Neodiprion lecontei: one gene and its partners. The protein of the gene in region 1 interacts with the protein of each later gene in a pairwise test. Links are inferred from orthologs where the notes say so. Each region holds a gene or a part of one and is shown on either strand. Other genes may lie near its edges. The genes, in order: transcription initiation factor TFIID subunit 11, protein Dr1 and transcription initiation factor TFIID subunit 13.

Evidence for each region.
Region 2: the proteins of transcription initiation factor TFIID subunit 11 (region 1) and protein Dr1 interact in binary tests that used the Drosophila melanogaster proteins (3 or more experiments, as listed by UniProt). The link is inferred for Neodiprion lecontei from reciprocal best matches to the Drosophila melanogaster genes Taf11 and NC2beta.
Region 3: the proteins of transcription initiation factor TFIID subunit 11 (region 1) and transcription initiation factor TFIID subunit 13 interact in a two-hybrid assay, tested with the Drosophila melanogaster proteins (2 studies listed by BioGRID). The link is inferred for Neodiprion lecontei from reciprocal best matches to the Drosophila melanogaster genes Taf11 and Taf13.

Annotation. Positions count from the first base shown.
Region 1 is NC_060261.1:39,665,106-39,672,713, forward strand, and holds transcription initiation factor TFIID subunit 11, read right to left. Parts: upstream 5,192-7,608; 5' UTR 4,797-5,191; intron 4,614-4,796; exon of another isoform or gene 4,612-4,613; 5' UTR 4,611-4,611; coding exon 4,467-4,610; intron 4,230-4,466; coding exon 3,976-4,229; intron 3,886-3,975; coding exon 3,798-3,885; intron 3,513-3,797; coding exon 3,416-3,512; intron 3,221-3,415; coding exon 3,087-3,220; 3' UTR 1,006-3,086; downstream 1-1,005. Other genes in the region: ER degradation-enhancing alpha-mannosidase-like protein 3, read left to right, coding at 1-667. UniProt on the Drosophila melanogaster protein: The TFIID basal transcription factor complex plays a major role in the initiation of RNA polymerase II (Pol II)-dependent transcription.
Region 2 is NC_060261.1:17,283,498-17,289,376, forward strand, and holds protein Dr1, read right to left. Parts: upstream 3,436-5,879; 5' UTR 3,121-3,435; coding exon 3,119-3,120; intron 2,070-3,118; exon of another isoform or gene 1,930-2,069; coding exon 1,419-1,929; 3' UTR 1,132-1,418; downstream 1-1,131. Other genes in the region: protein SMG9, read left to right, coding at 1-59, 147-291, 454-574, 702-813, 906-984; N(4)-(Beta-N-acetylglucosaminyl)-L-asparaginase, read right to left, coding at 5,224-5,455. UniProt on the Drosophila melanogaster protein: Bifunctional basic transcription factor. Activates transcription of DPE (Downstream Promoter Element) containing promoters while repressing transcription of promoters which contain TATA elements.
Region 3 is NC_060263.1:20,309,824-20,315,538, reverse strand, and holds transcription initiation factor TFIID subunit 13, read right to left. Parts: upstream 3,330-5,715; 5' UTR 3,187-3,329; coding exon 3,160-3,186; intron 3,025-3,159; coding exon 2,787-3,024; intron 2,720-2,786; coding exon 2,601-2,719; 3' UTR 1,747-2,600; coding exon of another isoform or gene 1,742-1,746; 3' UTR 1,363-1,741; downstream 1-1,362. Other genes in the region: uncharacterized protein LOC107221582, read right to left, coding at 362-477.

The DNA of each region.
Region 1 (7,608 bases):
TGAGGATTTCATTTTAATCGAGATTGAAAAAGCGGCAGAGAATCCAACTGAATCTAGTTCTTCATCGCTAAAAAATCTGGACTATGACAAGTCTGAAGTAAAATCTGACATAATTAATCGTGGCGCTGATTGGGACACTGAAAATGACAAAGAAATTGTCGACAAACATCGAGATGAACAATTCGATAAAACGGAAGCAAGATATGACGAGAGAAAGAGGCTTTTACAAGACATCCGAAGAGAGATTAGTGATTCTCAAAATAATAATAATAAAGATAACAGTAATATGCGTAGCCTTAATAATAATGAAATTAAATTGAATACAAAAATAAATTTAGAAACCCAGCACATACCCGATGAGCAACTTCGCTCGAATGACCCTTTGGAGGATTTCAAAAAACCTTTGTGGGCATCTGATGAAGGTAAAATATTGAAAGGATTTTCTGAATTTCAACAAAAAAAAGAAATACGATCGACGGGATATGCTAACCCAGAAAAGAGTAATTATGAGTATCGAGGCAAAGAAGAAGAAGAACAAGAAGAAGAGAAAGGAAGAAATCAAGAACGGAAAAACGGGAAAGTCGTAAGTGAAGAACATGCTGGCTCGCAAATAAAAATTAATGCCGATACCAGAGAAGGTAAAAAACATATCGACGACGAATTATAATGATGGTATTTTGATTATAGGTTTGATAATAAATGTATTGAAATAAAGAAAAGTCCAATTACACTAGTTGATACTTGGTAGTAAAATATAAACCGTGAAAAAAAAAATAATTGACAAATTAAGATTAGCTCAAGACTCAAGTGATGCGAGCTTTAACATTTTTATACCTAAAATTTCTATGCATATAGAAATAAGAATTAAGTTAATCTAACAATGTATGTCATGAGATGGGAAATATGACAATGATTACTTATTACTTGAAATCACTCATGAAGCGTAGCGCGAAACTATATCTTTTTTTTAAATCATCAACTAATGGTGCTTTTTTCGAAAATGGACTCTATGTTAAAAACTTGCAATAATAATGAAATCACGAATAATGCCGTGTATAATTTGGAGACAATGCATGAGGTTTTGTTAACTACATAATGTATATATATTTTCGATAGTTCAATACACATTGATGTGGTTGTGAATATAACGTACGTAGACTGTCAAAGGTATAAAACTGCAGGAAACAGTGAATTTAACCTAAAGATATGCATACTTTGCTTTACTAAGTTCAACAGTTGATGAAAATATGAAACTTTCGGCAGCGAAAAAAAATCTGGTGAATATCATTCACTTATTACTATCCATAATTTGAAGCTTTTAATTTTATCCTAAGTTTCCTATTGCATTGGAAGGTGTTTATTATTCACAATTTGGATAGTATTTTATAATTACGCTTTGTATCGTATAATTATTTAGCTTAAGAAAAACCGGAAAAAAACGAACCATTAAAGGTAAAAGATGAGAAAGAAACTTGAAATTTCATTTTTTATTTGCAAAAATCACATATCTGTAATGCAACTTTAATGATACCAATTATCGGAGAACTATAATTTCTACTTGAATGTTTGATTTTTTTTATTTCAATTTTAACAAACTAATCAGATTTCGTGTACAGAAAACTGAGATATAATTTAAATAGATAATATATGGCGGATTAGTGTACAGATATTGAAATATGTGTGTTAACCAGTTGTAAAGAAATGAAGTATAATAATAGAACTGTGTAAAATATTTCTTAATTCGTGATATAGACGATGCAAGATGTATAATATCTGTTGTATGTATTTGTAAAGTAAATTTTCTAATTACCGGAGGAATACTAACATAATGCTTTATGTTAGCTATTTTACAATGATAATGTATAATATTTGTAATCGAGCGAGTAGATCTATCAACTACTCTTTAATATTATATCGTGGTATAAAAATATATTCCATCATTTCAATGAGCAATGGTTTTTGAAATGTAGTGAACATCTGCAAGCGTACGATGAACAGTTAAGAATATTAAGTTGTAATTTTTAGTTGTTATATACTTACGTGCTTACTGCTGTCAGAGAATGCATATAACTTATAAGTGTAAATAAGATCCTAATATGAATATCAGCTTTTTACTTATAAATATATTGTAATTCTGAATGACTCTTTCTTAAATACTGTTAAATGAAAATAAGATAATTATAATACCATATAACTAGTAATTATCTGCCAAAAATAACATAAGGATATTTAAGATTTTAAGAGAAGTAAAGTTACTACAAATTTTTATAGTATGATTAACTCTTTGTACATATTAGAATAACAAAATACAGAAGATTGTATCATAGTATACTATAAATCAATTTCAGTAAAGATATTTACGGAATGAGGTTTTTGGTAACGGGGGTGACGCATGACTATTATTGATAATTGGAAATAAAATCGTTATAAATCATGCTTTTTTGTGCACGTGTCGAGATATACTTTTGAAAAAATTTCATCTTTCGAAAAATACCCTAGTACGAATTCATTTAGTCATGGTTTTTTGGTATTTCTCATAGTTGAAATACAACAGGTATCAGGATTTTAGTGATATATCTTTTTATTCATTATATGTAACAATAAGAGAAAATATAATTCTTTCTACATTTGTGGGTCAAGAGAACAATGTTACAAGAATAGAATTCTCTTTGGGAAACATACATTGAAAGCTTTCAGATTAGACTATAACTCTCGGATGAAAAAATTTATACTGCCAGAGAAGAGAAGAGATTTCAAATGTATTTTACAAGTAACGTTAAAATTATATTGTATAGCTAGATCTAAAATCATAACAGAATTTCATTTATTGCCTCTGTTATGATTTAATAAATTAACTCTAATGACCTTTTACAGGTTTAAAATTAGACGCTAATGCATAAACATAATATTATTACAATAGATATTGATTGGCATTTCGCATTTTCTAACATTGGCTGTAGCTTTTGGAAGTCTTCTGGACGTTTTTCCAGCTATTAGCCTTTTTTGTTATAACAAAAGCGTTTGTACTACGTGCTGCACTTTAATAACATTTTTCTTGACCATTTGCAAAAAAGCTCATGCTTTCCTCAAAGTCTGAAAAATGCCTTTTGTGCTCTACCGTTTGGTATTTGTCCCTGAAGTCGTAATCTGCGTACCGCTTCCCTCAAATGTTTTGGTTGCAATGGGCCCGTTTCTTCGTGAGTTTCCATGACATCCAAAGCTTTAAACAGTTGCATATTTGTTACATTATTTCAGCTTCTGCTCTCTATATTCTTTACAGTGAAAGAGTTACTATGGATTTTACAATATCTTTTTCTCCAATAAAAATATTCGTCAATTTTTTGAGCCATCGAAATTTGCATACATCGGAGTTTGTAATTATCTTGTGCAAGAGATATAGTTTTTCATATCGTACCTTCCTCAACAATTTCGCCGACAAACACCTTGGCTATACCTGACATGGCTATCACGACATTTTGAGATACCGAGCAGCCCGTAATTGTCTGCATAATCTGAAAAGAATCGAAAACAACAAAATGGAAGAGCCGTCTGTTCATTTTCTTTGGCAATAAGATATTAGGTATTGACCTTGTGATTGTTGGTCGGAGTAAATTTATGCAATCAATATTGAGTAGATATTTGAAAAAAAAACGCGAGTAAAATATTAGTTCGTGAAGGTTATCTTTCAAGAAGCTTACATGCATTTTTATTTAACAAGGAGTTTCTTCAAGGAATTTACACTTCGAATAATTTTGAGAATGCAGAACTAACTAAAAGCTTTGATAAAATCTGATTACTCTTTTGATTGCTGCTTTGGGAAATGCAGCTCTTCTGTACATCTCGTATCTGTCCAATTGATCTTCCGTGAAATTTGATACCAAAACTCTAGAATAAAAATGGTGAAAGTAATTTTGTACGTATTGTCAAATGCGTCGCTTCACAAATAGAAGCCAAAAAGGTGAATATTTAACATACTGCATTTTCTCCCGCTCTTCTTCCTCCAGTTCCTTTTTACTCTTTTCTCTACTTTCTCTTCTTCCATCTATTTTTGTCGGTACCGAATGTGGGAGCATTATATCATTTCCAAAAATGTCTTCATGCTCATCTTGACTCTCTGGATCATTCTTCAAGTCCATATGGTCACTTGATAGCATTCCGCTACTAGTTTGTTGGGGACTTGACTCTTCTGTGTCTGATTGAGAATTCTGACTTGAAGTGTCAGGTTCATTCTTTAAAATTAAAACACCAAATTATTCAAAACAATTTGACGAGAACCGCATGAGAAATCAGTCTCAATTTAAGTATGACAAAAAGATTGGAGATCATCAGTTTTGCTTATATTTTTGTGCAAATTCGAGTTCTCGATTTTCATAATTGCAATATAAGTATAAAAATGTTCTAAATTCTCCTCCGTATTAGCGATATCGACTGCAAAAGTACGAAGCTGAAAATTTCAATATATTTACTCCTTTCACCTTCAAAGGAACGTCGTCAATATCCATGCCATCGCTGTCTCTGGTTCCGGAGGGTCTAGACGGACTGTCCTTATCTTCAATATCGACAAGCTCGCTTTCGTTCCCAGAATCATCTTTACCAAAAATATTATCCATTCTCTGAAGCAATAAAGTTCATAAAAATAAAAGGCCAAAATGTTCTATCAAATACAAAATTGCATAAATTTTAAAAATCGGTGAAATTTTGTACACATGCATATAGGTTAGAAACAGCCGAACACCATAATCGGTGTAATTATGAAATAAAATCTGTCCAAAGGAGGGCTGAAGAAGTAACGAAACTCACGATGTTTTTAACAGCAACAGTCCGGTCAGCTGACGCGTCCTAAACCCTGAAGATAATTTGATTTGAACCGCTTTTGTAGCGCGATATTGACTGATTTGACAGAAGGAGAGTGTTTACTGCACGAATGACGTCACGACCTGCGTGACCTGCCTTTGCGACGATTTATCTTTTTCAAAATTACTACACCGAGGTTATCAAAAGTAGCGGCAAATATCGACAACCGACGACGGAGAATCCCCATCAATAAATCGTCGTCACGATCGTAATCGTTGGGACCGTAAATTGGCGACAATGATGAAACGTAAATACGCTGGGTAAGGTTCGCCTCGTTAGTTCCGAAGTTGCCCGCGCGGCAGCAGCACAAACCATCGAAACAATCGCGAGAGAAATGTTGCGGCGGTGTCGCGACGCCGCATTTGTCAATACTCGATTGTTTTAACAATTTTCTCGTACTTTCGGTCGCGTTTCGCGTAAAAATTTCTACGCCGTGGTTACCCAATCAGGGTTATTAACAGCCGAGTGATTTAACGGCGAAAGGGGTCGAGTACATCGCCGTGTAAACGGGGTAAATATACCCACCTACCGCTTGTGCACACATCGGCAAAGTTGAATTTTAGACGGCTCTCGGACATTTGCCAAGTGTTGCGGCTTTGAGAAGGAGGAGGAAGGAGGAGGAAAAGGTGCAGGTGGATATACACAATACAAACACAGTACAGTGTCTCAGTTACCTCTCCCTCTTGCATATTTATTTGGATTTCGTATTAACGAGGGAATCGAACGGAAATCTTCGTTCTTCGCCAACCAAGCATTCAACCCTCGTTAATGTCGGCCAACTCTTCGTGTTGATGTGTTAAAATGTGAGTATCTCTTTCCTCCTCATCGATACGTAATATAATATTTATGGACTCACGTTTACACTAGTTGGAAAAAAAAACATCTTCTGTATAATAACCAACGCGCTTTAAAAATGGCACAGTTCCATATTGGAACCGTCAAACTGGTCATGTTATATTGCTGAAAAGTCGGAGAGAGCCTGCAGCGGGTTTTGTTCTTTGATGTTTGTGCGTAAAAAACCGGTTTACCAATCTTTTCTTTTTATTCTTATTCTCATTCCTTTTCTGCTATCGAAAATGTAACAGATCGCGTACCGAGAGTTCGACAACGCATTTTGATTAGCAGCAGCTTGGTTGTTTCGCGTTTTATTACTCAGCACGGTTAATTGTTTGCCATTTACCGCGTTGCGATTCATCTCGTTATTCTCAATCGCGACTCCGCAATCTCTGCAATAATAGCGTTACGTATACGTCATTTTTTATACAGACAGACGCGCGTACAAAACTTGATTGTCGTTTTTTCGCACATGGCCAGATAGATACCATTGTCGCAAAAAATAATGAGGCAATTTATAGGCGTGTTTTTAGGTAAACACGTATGCACACTGTCATTTTTCGCCTGTTACTGTATACAATGCACACATGTAATACCCACCTATACCATTTTCGAAACTCGGGTCTTTATTCTGATCGTAGACGCTCAGGTACACGAAGACTAGAATTTAAAGTACCTATGCATACGTAGGTAAGTCAAACTAGACGCCTGCACGAATGAGGAGTCGAATGTAAATGCGGGTTTGACGTACGTACGTAGATACGTACATAAGTCTGTATCCTGTGTATGTAATTACATTCACAATTTTTTCAAACGACGTCGAAAATTCTGTCTTGGCCTGTCAATTTTCAGTATACAATATCCCTGTTTTTGATATCTTGGAAATAAAAGAGAGAAGGTGAAGTTATTATTGTATACGAGATCGAGTTTTCGACCTTTTTCCTTTCCGCCTATGCGGTCGAAATATCAGACACGTAAGTTTTATCTTACCACATCCGATACACTTTCCTTAATTCTTTCCCTAACATCTGCTAAACGAATATCGATGCCTCCCGTTTCAAAGCTTCTCCAACTTTCCGAGAGTGAATAGAGACTCAAGTTTGTTAAATTTTCCGATTGAAGAATCTTCCCGCTCGGAGAAAATATACGCTCGGTTTACACTAATTCGTTTTGTTAATCTAATCATCACACAGTCGATGTACCGAAATTCCCAATTGAAAAAAAATTTCGATTTTCAGCGACGCGTTTCAGCGCCGATAATAAAAAGCTAGCTGCATCGAAATTACAAACGAAACCTCGGTTTATCAGTTTCATAACAACTCCACGCATCGTCATCATAGTCATCATCATTACTATCATCATCGGTGTGTCGTTACTGCTACAATACGGTTCATATAATTTACGACCAAAAACTCTTCGACTCCTCTTCCATTTAAGGTAATTTTAGTTGTGTACGTGCGTTTAGACCAGTGCATTAGAGTCGTAGGCGCCGCAGTATATATGTATACGGGTCAATGCCCTTGAAGCTCGTGCAAAAACTCGTCCCTGCACTCCTCGCATTGTCCGACGGACAGAACTTGTGGGATATTTTTCCTGTAAAACATTATTTGCGAAGATACGAAGCAAAGCATGGTGTATTTATCGTCTAGTTGTTTTTTTTTTTTTTCTAGTTCTCAAATTGAAAATGATTTTCTAATTAAACGATCAAATAACATTTATTTCGCGTAGTAATTGCAGTCCCGTAATATCAACATTTGCAGCAACATTAATTTCAATATTTCTTAATAAAAAATGATCGATCTCGCAGAAGGTAAAAAAAAGTATCCATCGGAATCTTCTGACTCTCAGAGGAGCAGCTCGTTCAGCTTATTTTGCGGCTGCTTCTGTACCGGCGTATATAAACACAAAGTGCCGGATACT
Region 2 (5,879 bases), about 22 Mb from region 1:
TCTGTTTGTCACGTTGTAATATTCATTCAGGACTGGTTTGTAGATCCCAATTTAATCAGGTATCTACTTTCTAACAGCTGAATTTATCTGATCCAAATTAATTAAGTACTTTATTTTACTGGTTTGCTTTGTTCGCTATACTTCAGATTCATTCAAACTGCCGAAATGCTGAAACCTTCTTCGGCGTCTGCTATGGATCAAGACTTTGTCGAATATTATCCACACATCCTCTTTCTGCACAATAAAGCTGAGTTACAGGATTTCATGCCTGATTCTATGAACATGATGAAAGTAAGATAGATTTAGTAACAAGTAGTAACGGATTTTTTTTTAGATAAAACCTCTCAAATTAGAGCTTGTATTTCCAGGAACTAGAGGATTATATCTTATCAGAAAAATATCATTTCCAAAAACATTTCTCACACATAATAAACCTTAGTTCTCAATTTCCAGGACTTTTATAACAAAGTATTTATAAACTCTAGACTGCTGACACACAGTGGATTAAATATGGCTTCATCCGTCGTTGATGGACAACTAAATTTATTCGTTATACCAGAAATTACAAACGAAGGTAAAAATCCAATTCAGATGAAAGCAGAAACGACTCGTATCTACATTTTGTATGAGTGTTGTACACAGTTTCCTGACTTCAATAACTTTGAATCGGCGAAGTGATTTTACTTAATGAATTGTTTCAGATGAGACAATCGTTCATGATAGTGCAGAAAAAATATCAGAAAAATTGCGTATGAGAATACATGGTATATCACGTAACAACATGACTTCAACTGTATTGACTGAAAAAAATTGGTTAGTACTAATTTGAGATACTCCGAGTTATATAGCAGACACTGAAGGTGAAGAATAGACATTGATCTCATATCTTTATTTACTAATTACAGGTACCATTATGCTTCCAAAATTATGGATACGATAAAGAAAAGTCATTTGTTTTCTGAATATGGGAGATTAATGCCGTGAAAACAACAATTTGGCAAAGTGGAATGAATGTAATCTTTCACAAAGGTAGGAACAAAAAATTTTAAATTTCATAAATATTCAATAGAAACGTTTACAAAAAAAAAAAACACTTCAAAGGTGTGGTTCGATTAAATTATCCAAAGAAAATAGGTATAATTAGGTTCACTTCTTTATTCTATCACATCATTCACATTTATTCATAAATAATGGTGGTAACGTATTCTAGGATACTCGAAATTATTTTCTTCTTCATTTCTTCTCTTTTTTTTTTTATGCAATTTACATAGATAAATCATCAAAGATAAACCGTTAAGACAATAAGAAGTGAATTTCTCATTTACGCTGTTCACTTTTATTGGAAAAATCGATTCATAAGTAGAGGAACCAATCAATTTACTCATTAGACTTGCATTGTCTATTTTAATGGTAATAATTTAGGAGTAATCTTCCTGCTCACTATCCGGCTGTTGCATAGAAGCCATTTGGGCAACGGCTTGCAACTGTTGCCACTGCTGTTGTTCAGCAACGGCTTGTTCCTCGCGTGCTTTTGCGAAGAGCTCCTGTTGTTGTCGAAGAAGTTCCTCTTCTGGAATTCCAAGATTTTCGAGCCTTGTACTTTGGCGTCTTCGCTTCGCTGCCACAGCCTTACAATCTCGCAATACAGCTTCAGCTTCGGCGCTATAATCTCCAAACCCCAACTTTTCCAATGCTTGTAATATATGCTCAGCATTAATTGTTTTCTTCTGCTGTTGATTGCAGATATCGTTCGCTTCAGAGGATAATAAATGTATGAACTCAGTACAGCAGTTCAATATTAACTCCCTCGACTCGTTTGCTACTCGTATATGGGGTAGGATTTCTTTTATCATTTTATTTATCGACGCTCGAGGTAAAGTTAGCTCATCGTCTTCAGCTGGAGTCACTGTTGCCGAGGCCATTGGAACCCTGAAAATCGAGGATCAAACAACGTTCAATAACTTTAGCAAACCTATTAAAGAAATGCTTTGAAAGTGTGTGCCAAGAAACAATATACCTTTATTCGACAAGTGAGATGAACACCGACAATAAAGAAATGTTTTCAGAAATGTATCGTTTCTCGTCTTGTAATCTAAAATAAGAGTCATTTTAGATGTAAATAATATGTATTCATTTGACGGCACTGCTTACATTGCAAATATACAAAGTCGATAACAGCTAAACCTTTAGGTAACAAGTGGGATTAAAATCTTTTGGCCACATTACTTTGTCAACTAGATTACAAGAATTGTTATGATGCTACAGGATAGTGGTGATAAATATTCTTCTTCACTGAACAGGAGTAGAGTTCACATCATTTCGACACAATGAAACAATACATCAGATGCGGACAGTCGACTGAATTAATCGAACAATCAAGAATCAATAAAAATCAAACTTGTACACTTTTTTTAATTTGTAGTTTCTGAGTAAAATGAATGCGGAAGTAACAAGTAAATGATCGATTGAACTATTGCAAATGAAATTAGATTTGCAGCTCGTCAGTTAAAGGAACTCTATGGTTTGTAGAACTATGAACAGGAAAAGAAATGTAAGAAATGTCTAAATATATTGCTAACAAATCAAGTTGCCTCTCACTTTTGTTGTAATTATTTCTCTCTAATCTTTGTTGTTTAAGCATACCAGGCGAATAAATAACAAAAGCAACAAATTTGTTTTACAATAAATTGAACCAATAAATGAATGACCAGCATTTAACCTTCAATAAATTTTTACCCAAAATATCATCTGCAAGCTGTTACAACGTTTCAACGATTACAGTCATTGCTGGTAGTGAAGGAGAAAGTAGAAAAAAAACACATCAAATGTAAGTGCTTGAATGTTAAAAATGAAATGAAACGTAACTGCTCGAATAAAACGCAAAAAGTAATCAACGAATTTCGAGAGGTGGTCATTATAAAAATCGAAAGCTTATTTAATCTGTTCAAATGAATTCCCTTCATATCACGATGAAAAAAATAACATTCCGATGTAATAATATGTCAGTAGTTAAGCGAATATATTTTCTTGTTTGGTGAAAAAAAAAAACCACTAATTAAGTGAATGTGGAACGTTATTGATGATTTAGCATGGGATACTTTATTTATGAAACACGCACATATGACTAGTTACGTAGATCTGGAGGTTATCATACCACGGTTGCTCAACACAAATTCACCGATAATACATCCTGGGACATCATAAATAAAAATACAGCGCCATCATTAGTTTTCGCAAGTTATTAAGTACGGTGTAAAGTTTATATCAATTGGATTCGGATTATGTTCTGAGATTGTAAATGAAACCAATTAAGCAATTCGGATTTTTAAACGCCAAACAACCACAGTTTGTGTAAGGAGTCAGGTGTCCTACAGCGCATGCTACAGCGCAGCTTTTCGGACAAACCAATGGAAACGTTCCGCTAGTTGGCATCACACAAGAGGTTAATTCAAAACTGTTAAAAGATTCTGAGGTAGATTAGAACTATTTTCAGTTTCACGATGACAACGGCACGTTTCTAACGTTTTGCCCGCGATAGTTATTGGTTATGAAGAACACCTTTTGCCGACGTGGTCAGCTACTTGGTTCGTAATACGCGAAACTGCTAATACCCCCAAACCCGGCCAGACCCTGCAAACTGTTACGAAAAAAAACCCAGGGTTATAAGTCTTTATACCATATCACGGCCTTATAACAGGTCTGGGCACTCCGGTTGTAAAACCGTGCTCGAAAATGAAGCCGATGTTGTGAATTTTCGCCGCTAGCGCTAGTGAGGGAGAGGCCTACTTAGTACGCATACACCGGCCTCGGAGATTGCAGCGCTCCGATCTTTGGTGCACAAATTGAGAAACACAGGCTTCAAGACAGTCACGCTGCGTTATATGGGGCTTGGGTGCCCTCAGTGGACCCAATTGATCAGCGCCATTTGCAATTTTGACGGGTCCGTTTCGAAGCGGGTAATTCAAACCTAAAACTAACCAGCTTCACGCGAATATTGTTCGATGGCGACGGTAAAATAAAACAAAAGTGCGGTAAACGGTAAAGCCTAGTGCCTAATACTAAGAAAAAAGTTAGTGAATTAATAAAAATGGTGAAGTACTTGTACGGTGGGAAAAGTTCAAGTCACAAGCGAACTAATCACAGGTTCACTTTTGCGCTTGCTTCAAATTGTTACTAATGTTTCAAGTCGCCTATTTGTAAGTAACGAATTTTATTGTGCCGATTTATTTTTTACTTTCCAAGGTTTTATAATGTGTTTGATCACTGATACTAATAAATTTACTACCTATATATTACTAAAATAAATGAATTCTATTAATGCTAAAGAGATACATAAATAAAGCTCAAAAGTCAGAAATTATATTTCCATCGTCCGTAGCCAATATCCTTTTTCTTATTGGAATTCTATTTATCGGCATTTTTTAACCCGAAATACAGGCCTTTTTAAAAAAAATCGCGTTTATTGGTTAATCAAAAACCCCAAGCTTGCCCTTTCCTCTGACCCCCCCCCCCCCCCCCTCCCCCCGCAGCTTACATGCCTTCTGATGGTTCCACTCTGTAGCACGTAGAAAGCACGAGAAAGAGTCCACTATCCAGTCTACATAGAGATCAGTGATGGTGATACAATTAAGGTGCGCAAAAAATATAAAATTCAGGCATGGGGTGGTCGAGAAATCGTTAGCCCGATCGTTAAAAGATAAAAATAAATACGACTACATTTTTTGCCTGCAACTACAGCATCTGATGTCCTGAGAATTGAGATACATACACGTATACATACAATAAGTAGGTCTAGTATTGACTAGAATCAGTCACAATTTTTGCAAAAATCAAAACAGTTACCTTTTTTTTGCATTTTTTAGTTCATGACAACTTTCTGGTAATTGTGCTGATAAATTAGCTCCGATTGAGCCTTAGTTTCCGTCTCACAAGTAAAATCCGGTTGTTCTACCTTCGCTCATTTCATTATACTTATCAAGAAACAAAAAGTTGCCATTTGTTCACCAACTTTATTATTATCAAATTCTTACAGTACTTGTTATTAGGAAAATTATATTAAAAACCTTTGCATAGAAACACTTTGAATATTAGAAAATCAGTAATTTATCGCAAAAGATTCGAATTCAGTGACATTCTATTATTTGCATGCATCGCAATATTTTTCTTTTTGTCCGTAGAAAAAGCAGTATTGCAAGGCTAATATAGGCATGGAGCATGAGTGAATCAGATCTCAATACATCGAACGTGATTCAAAGTGGGTTCACCGAGAAGAGGATTACTCGCGTAAAATGGAAATTTTTCCATCCCATTGCAGGCGGCTCCGTACGCGCCATCCTTATTAAGAGCAATAACTCCACCAACGAATTTTGGATAATGCTGAGCTATGCGACGAACTGCTGTCTCAGCAGCATGGCTTGGAGCCGCTCCGCGGCGCATTTCTTCCACTGCTAGGAAGCTGAAAAACGGAAGTTATTCATAAACCAAGGCGCAGATTAAAACTATCATGATTAAATAAAGTAATCAATCAATATAATGAATTGCATCAAGACAAGCAATGCTTGTATTGAATTCTCGTCTGATCAATAACAATAATATTACACGAATCATCTGCAGAACACATGTCTACGTTTCTCAAAGGGACATATACACCTCTGAAAAAGTAATATAGAAAAGAGCTATTGTGTCAAAATAAAATGTTTTGATTTGATCAATTCACACCCACCTTTATTATAACAGATTACTGATACTTTACAGTAACATTCATTAAGACCAAAAGGAAAAAAAGTGGTTGTTATAGCATACCCACTGCATCCATGCATCAACAACTTCTGAAATGTCTTGGGAGTATTTAACAATCATGCGATTTCATAGAAAACGAA
Region 3 (5,715 bases), on another chromosome or scaffold:
GCGATTGTCGCATTACGTTACAATGGATTTGATTAAATCGTAGATGACAACTCTTGAATATCAAGAAAATAAGACGACTACATGAAAATGATTAAGTTGAATTTAGTAACGTTACTATCATGAAGTATTGATGAGAGATTAATATTCTGCAAGTTTAGAATGTTTTTAAATTCTAAGTCAAGTTTGGAATCCCAAGTATTTTTGCTGGATTATAATTTAGTGAATTTTAGAAAATTCTAAAAGTGCAAAGAAATGGGATTTCGTAATAATTCATATTTTCATTGACGTTAAAAACTTCAACTTAGTGAAAAACTGTTTTCTAACCTATTTTTAGGTTATGTTACGTTGGGTTGAGACTTACACCTCTAATTGGTTCGGCCAGTGCCGCAGCATATCGACTTGATATCGCAAAGCTTCGTTTTTGTCCAAAGGCACGGCGTCTGTAGGCAACGGACCTGTTTGTTTTACCAAAGCCATAATTCGGGGAAATTACGACCCGCTGCTGCGGACGCCGGTATCTACACGTGAATCTTCGCGTCGTCTGCTGACTTACAGCATTTTCCGCACTGATTTTCCGAATAATCTTTTCAGTGGTTGCAATCAGTGCGAATCACGTGGTTTTCGTCCAATGGCGAATGAATTCTAAAGAACCCGCTCTCAGTGCAGCCGTTCGAAAAATTACAGTAACGACGTGCGGTATTAATCAGCTCGAAAACGACAATTTGCAGTTGATTTTGGAAAAGTTCAAGGCAAGTTCTTGTAGCAAAATTGTAGTGACCGCAAGAGAGTCCTATGCACCCTTACCATAGTTCTTAGACCAATACAGACGTATACAGTTACGATCATACGTGCAAGATTCTCATATTATTAGTTCTTACACGCCACATTGCCTGTTATTTTATCAACCAAGCTCACATCTATAAAGTATTAAGCAGCGTATATACAATTTTCACACGTCACCGTTATATCTTCCGAAAATCATGTACAGTTCACAATCAGAGAAGCCCTTATTCTCAGAACTAAGGATAGCACCTTTGTTTTAATGACGATGTAATCAATTAATGCTTCACCGTTTGCTTCTCTGAACCAATCGTTCCGTGCTAATACTCCGCCAAGACACTACTTACTAACCAGATGTCTTGCTCTCAAGTAATCAATTAGCATCAACCAATCATTTTAGACCCACGAAAAAACGCGCCTTTTTTCGAACTCTTCCTACGTTGATGCATGTCAGCATGACGTTCTAAATTCCAATTTTCCCGGAATTTTGCACGGAAAATGCGGGAGAAATGTGGCAAAAAAAATAAATGGATGTATGATATGGGAAAAGTCGTGTACTGTATAATATATAACAAGCATTGGTACAACGCCCATACATTGATTATTGGTAAAATCCTGAGCAAGTTACATGAATGTACAAATAAATTCAATCCAGGTATCACAAATAGACACATAAATATATGTACATACATACGGAGATGAATTATTCTTCAACAAGTCAAGAAACTCACTCTGTACTGCATCAAACATATCACTCCGTTAAAATCGAGAATCTGGTTGCAGTCTGGAATTCGATGATCATGTCGCAGTGATATTAAATAGGCTGTGTCAAAGCCCAATTGAAAATTGCAGCAAATTGCAATTGGCAGACCATTCGCATAGTTGATTTGGGCCCATACAAGTATTTTTACACATTTCCTTCTCCTTCTTTAACCAAGGTATTTCTTTTCACCGCACGATGTTATTCTGCCAGTAAAATATAGGTTGTTACTAAGACCAAGCGTTTCTAATTCCGTTTAAAATATTTATTCAAATATGATACTATGTTGATTCATTATCACTTAGTTAGATGACGTAGTAATTATGCAACATCAGTACACATTTCTAATCTTCACCCAAAACGATTGTTAAATGTATTCATTAAAGTACCATGGTATTCAATTATAAATGTACAAAAGATATTCATTCGAATAAATTCAACAGGCAACCTTGTTTGTTTTGGTTTAACATTCTAAAACGCAACTCAATAATTAATCAATTATGATGCAACACTTATTTACAATATATTTGACAACCGACTATTCAAAATAAAAATGAGATGCAAAACACTAATTACATGCTACCTGGTATTAAATTTAATAAAACAGACCAATTTGATCAATTATTGAAACTCAGTGACCTCCATATTTAGATTCAATAGCGCAACCACTTAAACATGACAAAGTCCACCCAATTGCATAGTAATAAAACAAACCAAACAAAAAATAGTAACAATGGTGAGGATGCAATATTTACAGTAACGCCACCCATTCCTGTTAGAAACCATCGCTCGATCAGTTCATAAACAACAAATCATAGCTCTATTTTATACGCAATAAACTAAAACTAACGAGTCTGATTCAAGCCTGATTGGATATTATGCTATGATGAAAACTTGTTTCAGAAAATACTTCAGAATGTGTTTGGATGGCCAATTATTCATATATTGCAACAAGACTTGGATTAGACTCTGCAATAACAAAAACCAAAAAATCATGAATTCACACACCTCTACCAATGATATTTTTGTTTTTACTTGATAATATCAATCAACCGGTTTCCTACTGATTGACAGTACCTGCGTATTTCACTTCGTCAAAGGCTTTCCTTGCTTTTTTAAGCTCCTCATTCATTGTCAGCAGATCCTTAACTCTGGCGTATTTTCTAGAATCTTTCCTTACTGGAAAACAATGTGAAACAAGTTTAAGATAATATTGCACAACAAATTAAAATTCCCGCTCACTCACCAAGGAAGACAATGTCTTCGACTTGCACTCTGCCTGTGCGTCCAATTTCCATTGCCCTGTGGGTCATTTCGGTGATGAATTCGATCACCAAATCTTCCAGAAAGTCAACGCTTTCGGTGTATGGATTTTGGTCATCGCCAAATCCGTACATCATGCAACGGAGCTCCTTTGAAAATAACCGTTTTCTTCCACCCGGAAGCGTTCCTCCGATCGGAATCTCCGTCTCCTCATCTTCGAACTGATCAAATAAAGAATGCCAATCAAGGCTTAAGGTCTCCAGGAGTTAGGTTACTTTACGTTAGGCTAGATTATTTTGCTTAGCTCGTACTCAACCCTCAATTATGAACAAACCATTTCATTATGACCAATTTACCTGCTCGTAATTTTCCTCCGCAGCCATTGACGTATTTCGTTTGACTCACAAGAATCTGGCAATTAAATAACGACTTTTGAACAAGATTAATTGACAGAAAACTCTCGTTGAAAACTCCAACACTTGTCAAACAGAGATCTACTAGTTTCTGTGTCAAAACCCATCTCACGAAGCTTACGTTAGTCAGTGATGCCAAATGTCGAAAACGAAACATTCCTAATAGTGAGACGAAAAAACGCCGACGGCATAGCAGGATTCGTTGCTGAGGGTTGAACTCAGTGGATAATACAGAGCATATTTACCATAACAAAATGCCACTGCAGTGGTCGAAAATAAACGCATCATAAACATTAACAAATGTTATTGCAGTAATACTAAATATTTAAAAAACTTCATATGCTTTAAATTAACGGCAAACAATGGTTAATATTATCTTAATTACTTTGAAATTTATTGCCGTTTTTTTTGTGTCTTACAAAAGTTAATTTGTTATTAAAATAAATACCTAGAATTCCTTAACTTCAGTGATCTGTATGAAGTAACAGTTTCCCAATTTATAATAAGTGAAATCCTTTGAATGATTTTTTTTTTTACCAAATGTTATAGAATCACATTTAACAATGTTGCATGTCGTTTCGTTCAACTCAAACCACTTAAAAATGTTATCGAGAACAACTTGCATCAACGCTATGTCCCTAAGGTAATTGATGGCTTTGTAAGATCGAAAAAGGGCAAATTTAATCACCTTACATGTATCATTCACATCAATCAAGATAAAAGGTGGACCTAGGTCTGCACCCACCCAATTTCGGGAATACTTACGCCAAGATTCTTCGCTATCACTATACAAATGCCATGCCTTCACTTAGAACCCGAAAATTATCAGGGTGACGCGCAAAAGGCGCTGTCAAATTTGAAAACTTGATTACTTGTAAGATATTCGACTTAAGAGCCGAAGGCTGAGCACATCGACAGTGCTTTACTTTGTCATGTACCGTTTGCGAAATCGGCGCGCAAAAGCGCGGCCGATTGATCTGTCAAATAATCTTAAATATGTTGCAAAATTTTGTATAAATCTAATCCGAAATTGTGTTATTCTACGACTATGACAAATGCGCTGTGCATTACTCACTGCTTTCGAGTTGCTAAATAGTACACAGCAAATACGACATGCATTTACCGTTCAGGTACCTCAAAAATTCTTTACAAAATCTGTTCCGTGTCAGAAGGCGCTACTAAATCGAGGATACGAAAAATACAAAAGCGGATCCCTTTCTGCTGACGGTAAGGGATGCGTCGATAAGGCAAAATGTTATCTGTCTAATGAAAGAGCTGTATGTATGAATGAAATAGAGGAAACGTTCTGTTTCTATGAATAATAATAATAACAACAACAACAACAACAACAACAACAACAATAATAATAATACGTGATACAGGCAATCACTGGAGAAAATTGACAGCACTTCAGTTAAAAGAGCGTTCGTTGATTTTTTTAATACGATGTTATTCCATGTATTTTAAATATTCTTCATACACCCTTTACTTATTACGTAATATACATGAAATTCTAAGATTCCCTCCTTGTTTCCGTACAGTAGCATTTCTAGAATCTGTAATCGAATTCGATCAGCTTGGGAAAATCTTTTTTGTTTAATAATATGATTGCGGTTGTAGCGTGTGTTTATGTTTATTCGATTTGACCAACGTCGTTAATTGTAACATTACCGAATTAGTCGGTAATTCGGTTAAAAATAAATCGTGATATTTTAATCAACACGTAAACAAGTTGTAAGACCCACCAACCTTGGTTCGGGTCTTTTTTTTATAAGGTGTATGCTTAGTCTTGCTTGCATAGTGGTAAAACTAATTTCGCGAATACGTTGGATACGCAAATCTATAACGAATCGATGTGCATAAATGCTATCCAGTATTATCTTGTCTGCGAAAAAGAATCGTCAACTCAACCAATTCCACGAATCGAAGACACTGTACTCATAACAGCGATCGAACGAACTATGTGTTCGTATGTGTTCGTATGTAATTGAGCCCTCCTCGATAGCGAATATAAATAATGTTTATCAATCGGCAGAGAAAGAAGGCATTCGTGGTGATATCTGCGCTTAGGTCATTGCCGTAATAGAATTACATCTAGAATAATAGTTACAAAGAAGAGTAACACGTACTGGATTTCGCGATCACAGGAACACAACTAAATATCATTTTGCACCAATAACTAGACTTTTTGGATACGGCGAAAAACTTAAATTGTTTTAAGGGCTGCATGGTAACGTGCGGAACAAAAATTTCACTTCGCGTGTATTTGCCTTGTTTTTATGCGATACATTGCAACTATGTGATATCACTTAATATGTCACGATGATTCGAATATATCACCTGCGCAGAGACGGTCATCAATTTACAGTGTGTACGTAACTGATGTATCTATAATATAATCCGCATCGTTCAGCCCGATCGGATTTATCTGATTCCAAACGGGTATACGTGACAATATCAGAATGAGCGTATATTAATCCTTATCGTTGGTTACATGTG